Linked DNA regions of Yarrowia lipolytica. The protein of the gene in region 2 interacts with the protein of the main gene of each other region in a biochemical or structural test. Links are inferred from orthologs where the notes say so. Each region holds a gene or a part of one and is shown on either strand. Other genes may lie near its edges.

Evidence for each region.
Region 1: the proteins of YALI1_F09177g (region 2) and YALI1_E33302g form a complex in vitro, tested with the Saccharomyces cerevisiae proteins (2 studies listed by BioGRID, with this or other methods). The link is inferred for Yarrowia lipolytica from reciprocal best matches to the Saccharomyces cerevisiae genes MRS6 and BET2.

Annotation. Positions count from the first base shown.
Region 1 is NC_090774.1:3,324,473-3,333,489, reverse strand, and holds YALI1_E33302g (uncharacterized protein), read right to left. Parts: upstream 3,275-9,017; coding exon 2,441-3,274; downstream 1-2,440. Other genes in the region: YALI1_E33336g (uncharacterized protein), read left to right, coding at 1-108; YALI1_E33285g (uncharacterized protein), read right to left, coding at 3,620-4,966; YALI1_E33278g (uncharacterized protein), read right to left, coding at 5,447-5,474, 5,521-5,693; YALI1_E33268g (uncharacterized protein), read left to right, coding at 6,701-8,059; YALI1_E33234g (uncharacterized protein), read right to left, coding at 8,208-9,017. UniProt on the Saccharomyces cerevisiae protein: Catalyzes the transfer of a geranyl-geranyl moiety from geranyl-geranyl pyrophosphate to proteins having the C-terminal -XCC or -XCXC, where both cysteines may become modified. Acts on YPT1 and SEC4.
Region 2 is NC_090775.1:913,485-923,509, reverse strand, and holds YALI1_F09177g (uncharacterized protein), read right to left. Parts: upstream 5,742-10,025; coding exon 4,041-5,741; downstream 1-4,040. Other genes in the region: YALI1_F09230g (40S ribosomal protein eS12), read right to left, coding at 1-212, 425-427; YALI1_F09211g (uncharacterized protein), read left to right, coding at 2,358-3,788; YALI1_F09161g (uncharacterized protein), read right to left, coding at 7,041-7,268, 7,318-7,371; YALI1_F09155g (uncharacterized protein), read left to right, coding at 7,715-7,805, 7,851-7,877, 7,933-8,585; YALI1_F09137g (uncharacterized protein), read left to right, coding at 9,663-9,707, 9,750-10,025. UniProt on the Saccharomyces cerevisiae protein: Substrate-binding subunit (component A) of the Rab geranylgeranyltransferase (GGTase) complex. Binds unprenylated Rab proteins and presents the substrate peptide to the catalytic component B.

The DNA.
Region 1 (9,017 bases), on a different chromosome or scaffold from region 2:
TACGCCTACAAGCGAGTCAAGTTTGACAAGCAGGCCGGTATCTACCAGTCCTTTGGTCACTCCACTTTTGACCCTCGATTCATGAACAAGAAGCCTGAGTCTGCTTAAAATGCTCAACTACATCAAACAACAAATCATTTTGCACTTGATAATCAACCCTCGGAGAAGCTATCAATTCAGAGAACTACGACATTCGACGTTGCAGCCAGCACAACCCATTGATATACACAGAACTCTGGAATCTTACAAAAACGTGACTCTTTTACTCCATCTGCTTGTCTACATTGGTTCTCAATGGCTACTGCCCTGTCTTGTTTCTCTTTTGATTCTTCTCTACCTTGGATCCTTTATCACTATATTTATAAACGTGTCGGTTTTTCTTCTTCTGACATGTTTTGCATTCTAGCAATAAAATTATTACGAAAAAAACTAGTTTCTGTAATCCTTAATTGAGGAGGCTATGGTTGCAGTATATGTAGAACTTCTACTGTACAGTAAGAAATTGTCTTCCACTCAATCTCACCAGTCCGTTTTGGGCTATACCTACTATGTAACTACTGTACATCCACAATTAAAGTATCTGGCTACAGTAAGTTGGGACTGGGACAAAAAGCCAGGTTTGCTCGAATAACTCCAGAGATGCATGCGTGTCGTGTGGTCACGTGTCTTTTACTCTTCCAATCTATCACCTCACAAAACCACGGTCAATTCGGACCGTTATTCTGGCCGTTTCGTGAGCACAAAATGCTGAGGTTAATTGTAGCTTATATCGGTTAGAGTTCTGCTGAATTTGTGGAGGCAAGAAAATGCCCACAAACGACTGTTGCAAGTTATTACTGTACGGTACGTACTGTAGTTGAATATATGGACTTCTTAATGATACTTAGTTACTGTATACTTGTAGTCCTTCCGTTTTTCTCCACGATTTCAGTACAGTACTATTGATTTGCGTGGAGACTTGTCTTGAAGAACTCACATGTTTCATATAATTATCACTACAAGTAGTTGTATTGGAATTACAGTACTTGTAGCTACAGTATATGGTATGGACAAAAATCCCCCTTACAAATCAGATACTATTTGTACATGTTCTGGCATTACCAAAAGTTGTTCTTCAAGAGCATACTGGTTGTCACGCACTGCTCTACTTCTCTCTCTTCATTCACAAGTACACACTTACAAGTAAAGGTACAGTACTCGTAGAAGTAGAACCATCAAGATGGCCGGGACTTATCTTGACGACAGTTTGGTAAAATATAAGGAGCTTAATTCCTCTTCCCCACTTCTCCACTTCTCCACTTTATCATGAATAAGTGTCCCAGAACAGGCCACTTTCAAGGTTAACCTACAGATAAGACCACTAATATCGCACTACTTGTAGAGTGTAACTGTAAAACAAAACGATGGAGTTTTGCCAAGCGTGCTTTTTCTCGGATAACCACACAGTTCGAAACGGGAAGAGTGCGAAACGAATAACTCGGATGTAGCCGCATAGCTCCTAACACCAGCCACATGCATGTGGCACGGGCCGTTTCCCGAAATGGCTCTGCAGCCATCTACCCATACATCATGTTCATCTGCCCTGCTGCACAGATATGCATCCAGACGATTCTCTGCAGTGGTGAGTTACGGGACAGCAGATAAATAGTAACAAAAAGAAATCTATTAAGAATACGACGTGGAAAGGTCCTCTTGGCGATGGCCAGTGTTACTATGGATATGAGTGGGTACATCTAGTATATCAAGATGGGTGGATACAATCTACAGAGTCCGCTTGTTGATACTGTACCTATTTCCACGCATATTAATCCTGCGTTCCAGTCGTTCGACTTCCTTTAACAAATACATCAGGAGCAACATATGAACCTGCATTACAGAAATGGTTCTGGAATTATACAGAAGGCCAATGAGCCAATGAGCTATTGTATGTAGCTGCAGCTCTCTTGGTCTATCACAACTGCCACATGGAGACAAAGAACCGGTAAATCAGATGTACAATATAATGACATGAGAGTGACCGGGTATAGGAAGGATGATGCTATATCAACCCTTCCAACATCACGTGTTCGGCCAACAGTGGTACAAAAATGAGTCGATCGTACCATTTTGTTACAGTAACGTCATAGATCTTACGATATCGGATGTGTTGCTCACGAAGTGCTCCGGTAAGTCAGATAATGTTACCTGACTATGTCTGATATCTTGCGAGATACAGTAGTGATCTGATGATACGAGTTCCTTCATACAATCAGGATGCTACTATGACACTGGCAATGATTTTAATCATACGATTCCGGCGGATAATAATCTGTATCTGGCAATGGAGGTCAATCTGTGCTTGAATCTCAATCTGAGATACGATACTACTGTAATGGCTTCGCGCCTTCGGTTTTACACTTATGCAATGCTGATGTCTCATAATTCATTCATATCCCAGCCCTTACTTGCTCAAATCCTTACCGTTCCAAGGATCCTGCTTGACTCTATGCATAACCTTCTGGGGAAGACAGTAGACAGGGTTCACTTGATCCAGACCATCTGTACCCAGCAGTGACAAGCCACAGAGGCCAAAATTCGTGTGAAATACGTCGGCCACGTCACCCTCTCGATCAGCAATACCTCCATCATCTTCGTCTTGAGCTTTCAAAATGAAATCTCGTAGTTTGTCTCGGTTGATCCAATGCAGCTTCTTCATCATGGCCAGACAAGACAGCACCCACCACGAGTAACACACGTCCGGCAGTTTCTCCGGTCGACCATTGAGTCCTCCCTCTGGCAGTTGCCGTTCACTGAGCCACCAACAGGCCAAATCCCCATCTATCAGATCCAGCTTTCCGGCTATAGTGAGAGCTCCAATGCATGTGAAGGCCTGAGCAGCATGACTCTCTGCTCCGGGAACCATTCCAAAGCCACCATCAAGATTCTGGCAAGCAGCTATCCATTTGGCCATAGCTTCCACGTTCAGTCTATCCAACTTTCCCAGGATAGACAAGCAGTTGAGAGCAATGTACAGGAACCGAGTATCCACCTCGCCGTATTCATCACCCGAGACCTCACCCGTCTCCTGATTGTGCAGCGAGACAATGTAGTCTGCAATCTGGTCGGCATCAATCTTGTCGAGAGCATCCTCAATCAGAAGAATTTGAACAGCCGAAAGCGTGAAAGTGATGTGGGCGTCGTGATTTGGCGCGGCTCCGAACCCTCCATTCGGTTTTTGGCAGTTTAGCACAAATTTGATCACGTCTTCACGAGGAAGAGCCTCTCTGGCATGCATCAGATCAAGGGCATTCAGACCCCAGTAGAGACCATCTGTGTTAGGTGAGGCGAAAATGCAGCTCAAATATACTCACTCAGCCGTAAATGCTCCGTCAGCCAGTAGGCGAGGCTGTCGGTATGATCGTCCAACGTCTGGATATACTTGATATGTTTCTCTTTCAGCAGCGACATGATGTTGGATGAGGGAAATAAGCTCGGTCATCATCATAAGGAGGTGGGACAAAATAGAGTTGGGGAAAGACAGTAGATTACAGGGATACAAATTACAACTCGAGTAAATGCTCATTCATCATACTAATACATATATCATCTTCAAGAAAACTAGAATGATACCGAGAAGTATCTATAGCTTGTATAGACCATCAAGGAAACCGCACACAAGCCGGTCAGCAACTCCAGCGGTCTTGATGGAACCAGCCACACCGTAGAAAGCAGCCGTTCCATCCTCCACCTTGGTATTGCCGGCCTTCTTCATTTCGATAATGCAGCTCTTGAGATCAGAAACCAGATCGTCTACAGCAGCCACAGCAGGCTTGGTGAACGCTACGTGGGCAGCTGGGGGGTTCTGCAGAGTCGACAAGTGCCATCCCTTCTTGCTCATGGCATCAGATAGATCGTAGATGTTGACAGAGTCAGAACCGAAGGCGATAACAGATGCTCGAGGATCTCCAATGATCTGGAGGTCAGGAATCTCCTCGTCCACAGCTTTTCGAAACTTTCGGGCAGCTCCGACAATCTCCTTACAAGACTCCAAGTATCCGTTGTCTCCGACAGATAGCATGGTGGCCCAGCATCCGACCATGATGGCTCCAGGACGAGAGCCAGCAAGAGTGGGAGAGCCGTAGATACCTCCGGTCCAGTCGGGTGCAACAAAGTACTGGTAATGTCGAAGCTCGGGTGTTCTGTACATGATGATAGAAGATCCCTTGGGGGCAAATCCGTACTTGTGGGTGTCACATGAGATGGAAGTGACACCAGGGACTCGAAAATCGAACAGGATCTTGTCGAAGCCAGCTCTCTCAAGGTAAGGGACGATAAAGGAGCCCAGACAAGCATCCACATGCAGGGGGATTTTGTGCTTGAGAGCGATATCAGAGAGGCCCTCGATGTCATCGATAATACCATGGGGGAAGTTGGGGGCAGATCCGACTAGCAGAACGGTGTTTCTGGTAACCATTCGTCGCACAGCCTTCAGATCAACCTTCATAGTCTTCGGATCGACGGGGGCATGTCGCAGCTTCATTCCAAAGTAGTAGGCAGCCTTGTCAAAGCCGGCATGCACAGTGATAGGAGCAATAATCTCGGGATGTGTGACGCCTCGCTCGTTGTAGGCCTTCATCTTGGCGGCCAGAGAAGTCAGCAGGAGAGACTCGGTACCTCCAGATGTAGAGGTTCCGCAAGAGCCCTCAGGGCCATGGAAAAGAGCCAGAACCATAGCAACAACCTCAGACTCCATCTTTCGGACACCCGGGAAGACATCGGGATGAAGCTGGTTCGCCACTGTGAACTGGGAGAATGCCTCGGATTGCAGGTCTGTGAGCTCCTTACCTCCGTGGTAGACAGCTCCACTTACACGACCCTTTTCCCAGAAGGTTCGCTTCATATCGTGGTACTTAGACATCTCAGTGATGACCTCTGTGTTGGTCATACCTTCAGCAGGGAGAGTCCCAAAGATTTGGGTGCCGGGCATTCGGACGATAATGTCGTTCTGGATCTTCTCAATCACAACCCCTGTCTCCTTGTCAATCTTAGCCTTGATGAAGGGAATGTCGAGAATCTTTTTGGTCACTTTTCTGGCATGGAAACGGAATGTGTTTTGAAGTCCATCAGCAAAGATGGTGTGAATAAAAGAAAGGAAGTTGCCAAGGGCTGTGAGAATGACGCTGAGTTAGTATATACATGGCTGGGTTGCTCTAGCTCATCGTTTCCAGATCAAATCACATGAACAGCGAGTAGCTGTTAATTGTATGTCGTAGCTAACATATGATGACTGATATCATGTCCGTGTGCTCCCGGTCGGACGGTCGGATGTACGGCCAAGAGAAGCCTCTGTGAATAATTGCTCCAAGATCTCATGGGTAAAACGTCGTGAGTGTCATGGCGTCAATGGTATCTCTGTAAGATCGCCTTTTACTTGTGTCGTTTTGATTCTCAATGGGACCGTGTATACTCACACAATAAATACCGCATCTCGAAATCTGGGTTAGTAGTACTCAAACAGTCTCATCCTTCGCTTATTCTCACTTTTCATAGGTAGTGGCATTCTGGAAATGCTCAATTACCTCAGCCCTCACGCAGTCGTGCTTCGAATGAAGGTAAGCGACCGGAGAAGCCTGGAACTCGTGGTAGTGCTGATGCAACAGGGCATGGAGCTCGTGGACGCATTTCTGCAGACACTCCAAGTGGGGGATCGCCATTGTTGTGTTTCTGTGGTGTTGGTGTTGGTGTGCAACAAGAGAAGAAATTGTGGGGGTTATAGACAGGTGCACTTGTGTGTCGGATGCTTACTGCCTGTGGTCTGTAGTGAATGTAGCCACTTTAGCTTTCGAAGCTGCATCTAGATATCAGGAGGTGAGATATTAACTCCGGGGAATGCATGGATGCGGTTGTCAGCGGGGTTTATTAAACACACCATTGATGGGCGCCAACGGTTGGGGCTTGGAAGAGATTCTTTCTTAACAGAATTTCCTATATATTGAATGCCTTCCGGCAACTCAAACATCCTTCCTCCCCCTTCTTTGCACTTTATAACTCCTCCACACTGAAATAGCCTCAACACATTCCGTTTAAACTTGCTTAGGCGATCTACTGCGTCTTATTATTATTGGCATCTGAGAGCTAATAGCGAGCGATGATTGAGGTATTAGGAGAGGCCAAACTAAACACAAGTTACGTGAGGCTCTGAAGCTATTTCTATGCCCGCATTATTCGTTTCAGTAGCTCTTTTTCTATCACTTTATCATTCTATAGTTGTATCCTGTTCCCACATTCTCCGCACTTTCGCTTTTAGAGCTAAACTCCGAACGAGTTTTTTATCATTCATGTGAAGGGAAGGTAGGCGGAGGTCAGTATATCGAAGCAGCATGTGGAGTCGCCTGCGTGTTGTTGTTTTTTCCAAAGTCGATTTTTCTGTAAATATCGCCACCATCTTCATCAGCTATTATCTAAACAGAGCTACAAGTAGTGAATAATATCCACAGTTATGGGGATCGAACAGGCAGGAGCTGCAAGAAACTCATAACCTGTGGTTAATAAGTGGCCGATATTTCTTGCTCTCTAGCTGCAAATCTGAACAACCCTGACCTTACAATAGTTTATTCGGGCCTTTCACTCATTGCATAATCCTGCTTTAGCACTCCATATCGCTTTAGTAATCAAATGTATCAATTCTGCACCTCCCAACCTAATTGTCTTCATCACCAACATGGAACTTGTGGATCTGGAGTCGATCAAGACGACGGTGGACTCTTCTTCAGTTCGGGAAGAGGCCGTTGCGGCCCGTCAGCTGTTGGAAAAACAACGTCGAGCTGATATTCTCAAAAAACTGCATGTTCCTACAGACGATAAGGATGTTAGAGCGAAACTACGATCGTTGAATGAGCCCATTACTCTTTTCGCAGAAGACAAAGCTGATCGACGGACCCGTCTGGGTCAGCTAATGGTGGACGAGTTTGATCGGGAAGGTCTGCAGGACGAAGAGAGCGATTCTGACGTTTCTATGGACGACGACGAGTTTTTTACGCCAGGAAGTGAAGAGTTGCTTGATGCAAGGAGGCAGATAACAAACGACAGTATCTTGAGAGCAAGGGACCGACTCACGACACAAAAGCAACAGTCGGAATTGTCCCTGGTGGAGACAGTTAACCTACGACGAGATAAGATGGCCCCTATAGAGCAGTATCAGCTTCTGGGATCACAGTTCGTTTCCACACGTCCAGCAGGGGCCGTGGCTTTTGGAAGCGACTCTATACTGGCTGCATCATCGTGGAACGGCGAGATCAAGCTAATGGATGTACCGAATCTGAATACCAAGGCTGTGTTGAGAGGGCACGTGGATAAAGTAAGTGCTTTGAAATGGGCACGTAATATCTTGCTGAGTGGATGTGGAGAGGGAAAGCTGCTGTTCTGGGATTCCAGCACAGAAGGCAACGAACATACTGCATACAGAACGGTGTCTGAAGCCCACAAGGGCCGTATCGCAGGTCTAGACGTTCATCCAAGCGGGCAGTGGGCTGCTACCGCGTCCTATGACTACACCTGGGCTCTGTGGGACATTGAGAGCGGTACCAAGCTGTTGTCTCAAGAAGGACACTCTAAGGGTGTCCACTCTGTGGCCTTCCACCCGGATGGAGCTCTAGTAGCCTCTGCTGGCTTGGATGCAGTAGGCAGAGTGTGGGATATGCGATCTGGACGAAGTATTCAGACTCTGGAAGGCCATATCCGAGAGATATACAGTCTGGGATGGTCTGGTAACGGGTTCTATCTTGCATCTGGATCTGCTGACGGATCTGTCAGAATATGGGATCTGCGTGCTCAAAAATGTTCCCACACAATCCCTGCACATACAAAGATTGTGTCGAGTGTTCAGTTTGACAAGTCGGGCTCATTTCTCGCATCTACGGGATACGATGGCGACTTTAACATCTGGAATGCCGATTCGTGGACCCTGGCTAAAAGGTGGAAGACGCAAGACCGAATCATGGGCATGGATTTGGGACCTGGAAACGAGTACTTCGCCACCTGTGGCTGGGATCGAACAGTGAAGTTGTGGTGCAAGGAGTAGGCGTTGAAGGGGTAGGAACACATACCGTATCGGTAATATATTGCATTCAAACTACAAGTACTTGTAAGTAAAAATAGAACCACTCAATCCGTCAGTAATTAATTAAACCTCCTATAATACATAATATATTTCATCATTCGTCATCCGTCTACTCTGACTGCGTATTAGGTCCATCGGCAGGAGAAAGAGCTCGTCTAGGAACCGAGCTCGATCTCACACCGTACCTCGCACGTGATGTCTTGGGAGCTGCCTCGCTCTGTCTCTTGAGCTGCTCCTCCAAGTTCTCCACCTTAACCTTGAGCTCTGCAATCTCCGAATCCCGAATTTCTCGCTCTTCGTCGAATGTGAGCTTTCTGAGGGCAGAAAACTCACCATCGGCACGCTGGTTGGCCTCAGCCAGCTCGGTTGTAAGCAATCCCACCTTCGCCAACGCCTCGGACGCGCTCTCGGATGCCTTTTGGTATTCGGAACGCATGTAGTCATTCTCATTGGACCGAGCATCAGCAGTAGCATTGGCCTTTTGCAGGCTCGTCTTCAGCGCCTGAATCTCCTCCTGCTGTTTGGTTTTGATGTCTGCGTCCTCTCCAGAAGCCAAAATAGCCTTCAGAGAAGCAACCTCATCCTGCAATCGAACAACTGCCTCCTCTTTTCGAACCGCATCTGATTCTCCTCGTTCGATCTTTCGCTCCAGCTTGCCAATAGTCTCCTCGAAGGACGCGTGTTGACGCACCTGACGCGCAATCTCGTCCTGTTGAGACTCCATTTTGAGCTGCTGCGTAGTTGCGAGCTTCCTGTGCGACTCGATTTCCGACACTAGTTGCCGTTCTCGGCCAACAAGCGAGTTGTATTGCTCCAGAAGCCCCTGTGTCAAACCTGTCCATCGACCATGTGCATAATCGTGTGGAGGAGCAAAGTGGTCTGCGCTGATAGGGTCCAGCTTGTACCGCTTAGAAGGCTG
Region 2 (10,025 bases):
TTGAGGTAAGACTCGTCGGTGACAGAGTCACACAGGACACAGAGCTCGGCCTCTCGTCGAGAAAGGGCCTTAGAGCACTCTCGCAGACCTCGGACGAGACCGTCGTTAATGACAGCCTTCTTCAGGACGGTCTTGAGGGCATCCTCGAGGGTAAGTCCTCCGGAGGGAGCAGCGGCGGCAACCTCAACTTCAGCGATAACTTCAGAATCAGACTGGGTTAGAATGATGGCAGCGAGTGATTGTCGTTTGTTTCGACTTCGTTCGGATAACGATTTGGATGCTTTTTGAGCGACCTCGAGAGATTATGTCAATGATTTGCTTCATTTTTCCTTGCAAATAAATGAGACAAATCCCATAGTTTCTCCATTTGGATCGCTCGACATCCTCACCAAGATGGCCTCGTGATTCCCTCTGTCATACTCACCATTTTTAAATGGACTTCCTCACAATTTCTGAACTGTTCAGTCTTGTTGGAGAGTTATAACGTCGAAAAGTTTCATTATTTGGGTGAACGCATGTGTGACTGTTTTCCCGATTGGGAAGTATCATGTGACCTGGTGACGATTTGGGACGGCTGCAGTTTTGGGTGTCGTGGGTTCGATTCGTGGTGTCGTAGTATTAAATTATTATCTGGAACACACTACACAGATTCACCGTATTTCCGGGCATGAAATAATGTGACTGTCTCGATAAAAATATATTTATTCAAAAATCCACCCTAGATCCGCGTCCACACGTGCTCTTAAACTTCCTGATCATGTCCGTGCAAAAACTGTGTTCTGAACAACCCCAACAGTCGAACATTTACCTACAGTTCAAGCCTTTTGTAAGGCGATTGAACTATATCGGGAGCTCCAGATAGACCTCAGTCAGCCGTTTAAAATACATATTCCGGTAGCCCGTAGAGAGACAGGGAATGTAAAGTGACTTTCATTTATTTTTCGTGCTACCAATTGACACACCCCATAGCTGCTACACCAAGTGCAAGTACATACTGCACCGGTGTGTACAGGTACTTGTACAGCACAGTGTGTATAGCCCCTCAGTCGCTTCAACAAACGGAAGCAGCCGCCCAAATACACTGAGAATGATACCAACTTCCGCTTTCTCCATTTGCTCCCATTGTTTGCAGTTTTGTTGATTCCTCAAGCCGTCCTATGCACTTCGTATTCGTCTTGAGACCGAGTCTCAGCAAATGAAACAGGCTGCTGCTGACCCTGCACACGAGAGAGGTGCAGGAGGAACATATCTCACCCAAGACTGAGACATGGGCCCATGTTGGCGCACTCGCAGCGTGTTTTACTCTTTTACTCTGTTGTTCTACCCCCATATGGAAGTGGTTGCATGAGACATAGTGTAAACATGTGAAGATACAACCACTGCACTTCAGGCGATGGTGTATTGCAACAGCTGGTTGCCTGGGACCCTTTTTTCGGAGTGCACAGAGCCGGATAAACAGACAAAAAGAAATACTAGCAGCCATTACTTCTTTTTGTATCGCCCCTTGTCTACCAATATTGAATTCTACTGGCCCCTCTAAACGAGCGTTAAAAAGTGTATCTGAAGCAGCCAGGGTCGATCTACAAGAGTTCGCTGCGGGACGAAAAAGAACAGTCTCTGACCTTTGTCTCGGACAAAACTCGGAGAAATCCAACACCTAAAGTCCACATAACTTCCATCAGTGCTTGTGTGGTGCTGCAAGTAGCTCCGAGACAAATGTGCGGTGAGACCTTGTCTAGTCGATTAACGAGGTGTTCCCGCCATTTGGCCGAGAAATTTTAACGGCGTTGAGTAAGACATGTTTTCGGGTTTGTCGAGTAATTACGGTCTGTCTATGAGTAGACATGAGACATTGGTTTGAGGTGCGACACTGTTACGTACATACTGTATCTATGGTATTCACCGTCCAAGTACACACGGACCGCTTGTACGAGACTACAGATCGCCTTAGATCCGCCGTTGCTTGTGCACATGAGGAATGTTGCTGCTACGAGATTATGTGTACTTGTATATCATTAATTTAATTCATTTTAATCTCATAAACCTCCATGCCTTCAAGCCTATCATCCTCCTGTGTGAGCAAGATCTACAATCTCCACAGTGGAGACATTCTAGCGAGCATAACGGGTTTAAGCAGTTGAAGGTATTGAAAATTGGGATCACATTTATTCTTTTTGTGTGTTTTTTCTGTTTTTTATTCAATTTTCCAGAAATTGCACTGAATACCGCCATTTTAGTCACTATCTCTCTCTTTCGGTATCTTGCCTAACATTTCCGGTCATGCACTGCGAACCCAAACCACCTTAGGCAACATCACCAAGTGGTACGCGACTACACATCACCACAGCTGCGGGACCATGAACGACTCGTTTATCCGCACTACCAGCATTCTGACAGAGCATTTCGGCTATGCGCCGATTGCTGTGGTCGACGATGTCATCAACGCGGTCAACCAGGTGCTATATACCGTGACCGACGCGATGGAGGACTTTTTGAAAACGCGCCAGGCCCGACACCTTCAAAAAATCGAACAGACCGCCAGAGACGCGTCCGACTACCAGCTACGCGTCGCCGAGCTGCCAACGACTAAGGAAATTGAAATCGGAACCGCCAAGATGGAGACGCTGCTGGAAACCAAGGTAGACGAGAAGTTTGATCTGTTTGAGCTCGACGCGTTGCGAAACGTGTTCAACGTGCCCTCTGAGCTAGTTGAAGGCGGCTGGTTCAAACTGGAGCACCACACGTTTGATGCCAAGAGCGTTTCCAAGGTCAACGAGGACGCAGAACTCGACAGAGAGATTGCCAGGCTGGAACACGAGCTGTTTGGAGGAGAAGAGTCTTTGATGCGACAACAACAACGGCTCAAGCTGGAACTCAACCGACTGAAAAGAATAGAGGCCACGGTCGCACGGTGTGGATCGAGCTTCTCTTTTCTCACAGATAGGAGTTCTGAGGCTAGTAAGTTGTATAGGGATGTTGTTCCCTTGGCGGAGAGTGTGCAGTTCCTGGTTAATTCTACTAGGGGACTTGAACCCCAAGTACGTACGGCCAAGAGGAGACGGATCGACAGAGTCAATCTACCTGCGTCTGCCAGAGATCAGTATCTGGATACAGTCACGAACCAGGCTATTTTGAAGGCTGGCTTGTGGTCTGGACTGGACGATGAGCAGGTGTCTCTAGCTGCTGAGTTCGCAAAGAGGGATCAGAGAGAGCAATATCATAGTGAAGAGCAGGAGCAGGAGCAACAGCAACAACAGCTGAAGGGGCACGAGGGAGTGCAGGAAGGAGAGCAGGAAGGGGAGCAGGAAGGAGAGCAGGAAGGAGAGCAGGAAGGAGAAGAACAGGATGAACAGGATGAACAGGGTGCACAGGACGGACAGGATGCACAGGACGAAGGCCAACTAGAGGGACAGCAAGAGGAACAACAAGGAACTCAGCAAGAGGAGCACCAGCAAGAGAATAACCCACAGCAAGAGAATGTCGCCTCACGAGAAGCACAACAACCAACCACTTCATTGCCATCTCTATCACCACCTCCAGACCCTCCCTCTGAACTGGATCCTGACGAAGACAAGGAGAACAAAGCTCCTCGAAATACAAACACTCAGACGGTTTCCATGGAGGATTTGGCCCAACCTGAACCTATGGCTGAACCTGATGGCGAAGTCGAACCAGAGACAGATCTCCTGGGTTCAGAAGTAGCCCTCTCCTCAGATCCCCTCATCTCGTCAGACTCTTTGGTCCATTCAGAGACTGAAATGGAACTGTTCGAGGTAAGTGTTGATTAGTCCACTGAGTGTCATTCCATAAATACTAACCATGTACACTAATATATACTAACGTTCTTACCGCTTCTGATGTTCTCTCAAAGTGGTTCTAGTCATCTATAAAGAACCCAATCTCACCACACTGGATCTTGCGAGCGCGCCCGCGTCCTGCTTGTCATAACATCATCTAGCTTAACTTATGTTGAGCAGAACTGCACTAGTAACGTACAGCCCTATAAATATCTATATCGTATATCCAATGTGGAACCCGTCTTACAGCTCCATGTCATCGCCAAAGTCGGGCACGTGATCGTCGTCCTCCTGCTTCTTATTCTGCTTGGCCATTCCCGTCAGCTCGTCCTCCTCGTCGTCTTCAAAGTCAACGTCAAAAAAGTCGTCGTCTGAACCCACGATCTGCGCGTAGATCTTCTTGACCTGCTCCACAATGCCGTCATAGGTGATTTCCGTTGGTGCACCTGAGGTCACAATCACAGGACTCTCGTCTCCATCGTTCTTAGCAACATCCTTGATGCTCTCCTCCAGCGGCGGAATCGACGTCTTCTGGTTGTACGACAGCTTGATCAGATACGTCAGCTTCTTCTCGGGTACAAAATCCTTCATGGACTTGCCGAGCTTCACGGACGATAGCACGGGGTCGCCGGACGGCGTGAAAATAACATCCGACTGGTCCACCTGGAACTCAAAGTCCTCGGTCGACTCCCGCAGAATCGATGCCTCCATCTTGGACAGTGCCTCCTCTAGGTCCCGCTGGCCTGTGGCTCCTCCCTGGACAGTGGAGAGGTACCAGATACATTGACCAGGAGGAACCTGGCCAGACTCGGCACCGTAGCAGATGGCCTGCACAGTCTTAGTGTTGCCGGACGACAGAGAGCCCACGGGGAACACGATGATGGCCGCGTCCTCGCCCTCGGCGAACCACTCCTTGCAGTCCATGTTGACAATTACCGTAAGATGGTTGATCTGGTACTCAGGGTTGGACGAAGGGATCTTGGAGCGCACCTGCTCGGTGATCTGGGCCTCGGACACCACCAGCTTCTCGGACCATCGCACCTTGGAGCCATCGTTGAAGATAGCCGTCTTGGAGTCCACGTCGAGCCCGGTGAGGGTTGCGTTGAGCTTGTATACGGCTCCGCCGACAGCGGCTGATCGACAGAATCCCTGCGACAGCTCGGAGGCAGATCCGTACATGGAGTAAACCACGGGAAACGCGCCGTAGGTCTCGAGGGAGACCAGGTACCGCTTGATACGGTGGAGGGCGACGGGGGTGGCGACATCGTTGGAAGAACACAGGCCAATGGACTGGACCAGCTCATCGATTTGGGTCTGTTCCAGCTGGAACTCCTTGGTCATGAACTCGACAACGGGCTTGTCTCGGTAGGGTCCCCAGACGTTGTAGAGACGTTCCCACTCGACGGTGAACTTGATGAACTTCATGAGCTGACGCTTAACGACGGGCGACATTTGCTGGGACGTGAAGATGTCCTGTTTGGACGCCGGCACCTTTTCGAAGCTGTCGTTTTCGTACGTGTGGAAGTTGGTGAGTGACCGGAACTCCAGATACTTGTAGACCCGGCTCTTGAGCAGCAGTTGCAGCATGTCCGACTTGGCAAACAGCACCCGTGGGGTCAGGTCCACAAAGTACTTTTTGGAGTCCAGGGGTCGGGGCTGGTACAACTTGGCGTTGGAGAAGACGGCGGACTCGTAATTGACCTCGTCCACCCATCTAGGGAGCTCATCGAGATTGAGTACTGCCGACGAGTCACCGTAGATGGAGTTGCGGTCCAGATGAGCCACGTTGGAGCCCTGCCATGCGAGGGCGGCCGCAAGAATTGACTCGACGATGCCCGTGCCACAGATGAGCACGTCGCAAGAGTCTACAAACGCGGGGTCCTCTGCCAGTGGCGGCACAATTGATCCTCGTTTGGATACCGATGATGCTGAGAAAGAAGACATGTGGTGTGAGAGGGGGTTGAGGGGATGTGTGGGAGAGGTGTCTGCGTTATCGAGAGAGGAGGTTTGTGGCGTGTACAGTACTTGTACTGGGACTTGGTTGGCTTCACAGGTGTAGTTGGTGTGCGGGCGCGTTGCTTTTGCGGATGCTGCGGATGTTGCGGATGTTGCGGATGTTGCGGATGTTGCGGATGTTGTTCTGGATGTGTATCTTGTTCCGCTTGTGTCGCTTGTGTGTTTGTGTCGCTTCGTTTCCTTCTGAGGTCCACCTGGCAATAGTACAAACAGATGTCGTGCACTCTTCCAGCGCTCTGGTTCAAAGATGCAGGTGTAGACTTGGAATATGGGGTATGTGCTGCGTATAGAGTTTTAGGAGGCTTGGACAGGGTGCACTAAAGTACGTGCCGAGGGGTCTCTTGGAGGGGATGTGGGGTCATGTGACGTGTCGGGACCCCCGGCAGGGGATAAATTGGCCTTTGGGGGGTTTTATACGGGCCCTAATCGCCTTTCCGACGCCCATCACGTGCCCAATGTCTGTCTCCACCATTTTCTACAGAGAAAAATTTTCACAACTTACTCTTAGTTGAACATAAATTATTGGCCCTTCTCTCCCAGATAGGCTAAATAAGGTGTTGAATTGGGTGTCATGGGAATCGGGTATAGCACGTGTTGCGGGCGGGATTTGGGCGTTGCATTGTCTCAGGGAGCTTGTGGGGGGTTGATTGACTCAAAGTCTGGGTTTTTTCCGCCTCAAATCCCCCCATAAACCCCCATTAAAGCGCTCCCTCGTCTTGTCAGTATCTGCCGTGCCAATCTTAGCTTTCGTCCAGTGCATGACTTATGTGAGCGTGGCGACATTACGAGCTGTGTGTGGATGACAGCTGGAGTGGCGTACGAGTTACGAGGGGAGCGTAGTGACACAGACCGATCTGAACAGTATAAGCAGAGGTCCATTTTCTCTTGCCAGTTCAATTGACCGCCACCTACTGAAACCGTGTTCGCTTCATCTCAACGGTCGTCCTTGTTCTGTTAACAAAGCCCAACAATACAAAGGACAGCCGAGAGATGGGGCCAGGTCATGTGATGATAATCTGCGGGTGGGTTTGCCACCGGGTACGAGCAAGTACAGGTTCGAACCGGACCGATACTGCTGAGTGTGAGTATTGTTTGGTCCATCGACATTGTTTTGACGTGTCATCGTGACTGCACTATGACGTGTGTCGTGTGACAGATTCACGCCTCCCTCGATAACTGCACTATTGTCGACCATTGCTCTCATCTCCAACCTGCCTCTTGCGGCTATTAAATTGCGGGTATATAGTCGGTCCCAACCAACCGACGCAACGTCTCATCTCCAACTTCCCGAAACGGAACTCTGTGAGCCAGCTGCGTTGGTCCTGCCCAACTGGTCTGATGGCGATGATGAGACAAGTGAGCAACTCCGCATTGGGATATTCCGACAGTGTGCTGTGCTTGTATTTGCTGCCAAAGCACCAAAGCACGAGCAATTGCTCCTGTTAGCGTAACCGACTATGAGTATTACTTGGAACGTCAACTAACTTGACTACTTGTCAAGTACGTACAAACTGGTCCGAATGACAGGACAGCAACCAAACCATTCAACACTAGACATAGTATGTACGGTACGAGCACGAGTAACGGTGCTCCTGCCTGTACGCCCACGTACTTGTACCTCGGTCAACGGTAAAACTACCGGCAATTCTCATACGATTGACCGTCTGTAACATTGTTCCGACGCTCCATCGTCGGTGCTTTTTCCGAAAAAGAACCGTCCACACGCACACGCACACGCCCACTGGCATACTTGCTGACGCACCTTCGACGACGTGCAGTTATGACCCAGAATCAGACGACATCCTGGCTCGGCTACGAGTACGGGGCACGCAGCGAAATAGCAACCGAAGGACATTCACACGACACACAGACGCAACAACAGACGTACAGAGCACTGCTGTATGTATCGCAAACGGCATTGCTACGGCCGCCTGTTGCTATCTGTTGCTATCTGTGGCCATCTGTTGCCATCTGTTGCTGCCGTCGCCGCCTGTTGCTGTTATTTTGCTAGATGAAGCACCCTAGAAGCAGGAACAGTTGCACCGGGAACGGCTTTCGGTGCACGTCAACGGCTTTCGGTGCACAACGGCTTTCGGTGCACGTCAACGGCTGCTCTGAGACTCTGCCACCTGCCGTCGTGTACGCTTTAAACACCAAACATGCTACGGTACCTTGACTCCTTCACGTGATGTCTTAGTCGACTCTCTCCCTCTCCAAACAGCAGATGGCCCTGCTTATCGTAGGAAAAAGAAGACCCGGTCACGCAAGGCAACCCAAAGCAATGCATCTACCGGGTGGAAAAAAGCAAGGTGTACAAAGTTAACTGAGCGAGAGACCGTTGAATGTTACGTTGCAGAGTGCAATTCCATCAGCTTGCTTTTTGCGCCTCCTGTTCAAACAGTACATACGGGTCTTCAAACCACAAGCACCAGCACTTGTAGATCAGTTTCCAGTTTGTTTCCCGGTCTAAACCCCATGATAGAGATGATCCGTATACGAGCAGACTCTATACGTCTTGTTTTGGGCTCCTCAACGGCCTGGATGAGACATAGCAAGCGGTACAAGCAGATGAGAGAGTGCAAACCTCAACTTTGCGGGGGACACAAGTTGGAGCTTGTGGGAATAGGCTGGAGGAATAAACGAGGACCAAAAAAGCTAACAAGTGTCCGCACAGTTGCTCAATCGCCTGATTCCCGCTTGGCACGGCAGTCTGGGTTGTGTCTATCACCGAGCAAAAGCACTTCAGAGTTGAGATGCACCGTTGTGACGTAAAAGACAGGAATATCGTACGCATTCCGGGTGGAGGAGCGTGGGTTAAGGTGGAGGTCCCTCGGGCACTCCCCCTAAAGGCCCCCGAACGGCACAAGTGATTGAAATTACCACCACCTCTGTAGCAAAGATATTACCAAACACCGCACTGGCTGTAAACCCGACAAATAGGTGTGGGGACGTGGAGACGCGGGAGCTAAAGAGGTTCTACCTCACGGGATTCGGCGCTAACAACCGTTCGTTGGCTCCGGTCCAGATGTTAATACCGCACCTGTTAATTCCATGGCTATACCGGTGCTAAACGCGTCCCCATAAAAAAGTGGTGTATATCCCTCAACCGACGGTGCTCGCTCGTACTTGCACGCTACAGCTGAGTACAGACCTGTAGTTCTGGAGTCTACAGTCAGACGCAGAGAACATGCTCAGCTGTAGGGAATGAAGAGCCCCGTTTGGGGGGGAGGGGGAGTCCATTCCAGAGACGCACAGCCTCATCCAGGCCAAAAGCTCCTGCCCACCCATTGATAACACTCTATCAACAACATTCAACGCTCTCATAAACATATGGTTTGGTCTTCAAATAGACTTGAGAAACCAACGAGTGCAAGTACACATGTTCAGGGTCAGAGTCAGATGATGGCGGTGGTCTTGAAACTAACCATGATCTCGCACACCTCAGGATCTTCCACTTTGCGTTTCATTTTCGTTTCCACATATTTTTGCTCTCTCTCTAGACATGGAGATCACGAAGATCCTGTTGTTCCATAACTGCAAGGGCGGAGAGGGACGTGTCTGCGGAGATCGTCCGTAGGGGCCCGGTGATCGCTCGACACGTGACCGCGTCGACGGTAATTGCGACTTCCGTTGTTCGTATGGCTTAGCGCTGTTGGATGAGTCGATGGTGCTACTGTAGTGTGCAAGTGTACAGTAGTGTGCTCCGAGATATTGCCACGGCGTAGGTCGGCGAGAAGCCATGGACAATCAAGTTGGAGACCCTCAGGACATATGGTTGACAAGGCAAACTAAACCGCGAGTCATCCGGTGATTCTCGTATCTCTCATCGTTATATCCCCCACTTTAGCCATGATGATCTGTTGGGTCTTTTTGAGACAGTGGGTAACCCAAGGGGTGCTTCTGTTACTCACACCAGTTAGCCCGGGTTACGAGTAGAGCGATTGTGCATACCATGTTAGCCGTGGCAGTTGGTGGTTATCTGGCTTGCACCTGGATAGTGTCTTGACATGCCGCAGCGGGAAAAAAAACAGCCCAAAACCTGACAAGACCGGTATCGTGGAGTGTTTAGCCGTAACTGTTCGGCCCTGTCTTTACCAAGGGGGCTGTGTATCCAAGAATACGAGCACCAGAGTTTGGGCTAGCGGCCAGTATGGTATGGGTCTGGTTATTATCAGGTCCTGTTTCACCCGGTGCACAAGAGAGGTAGCTCAT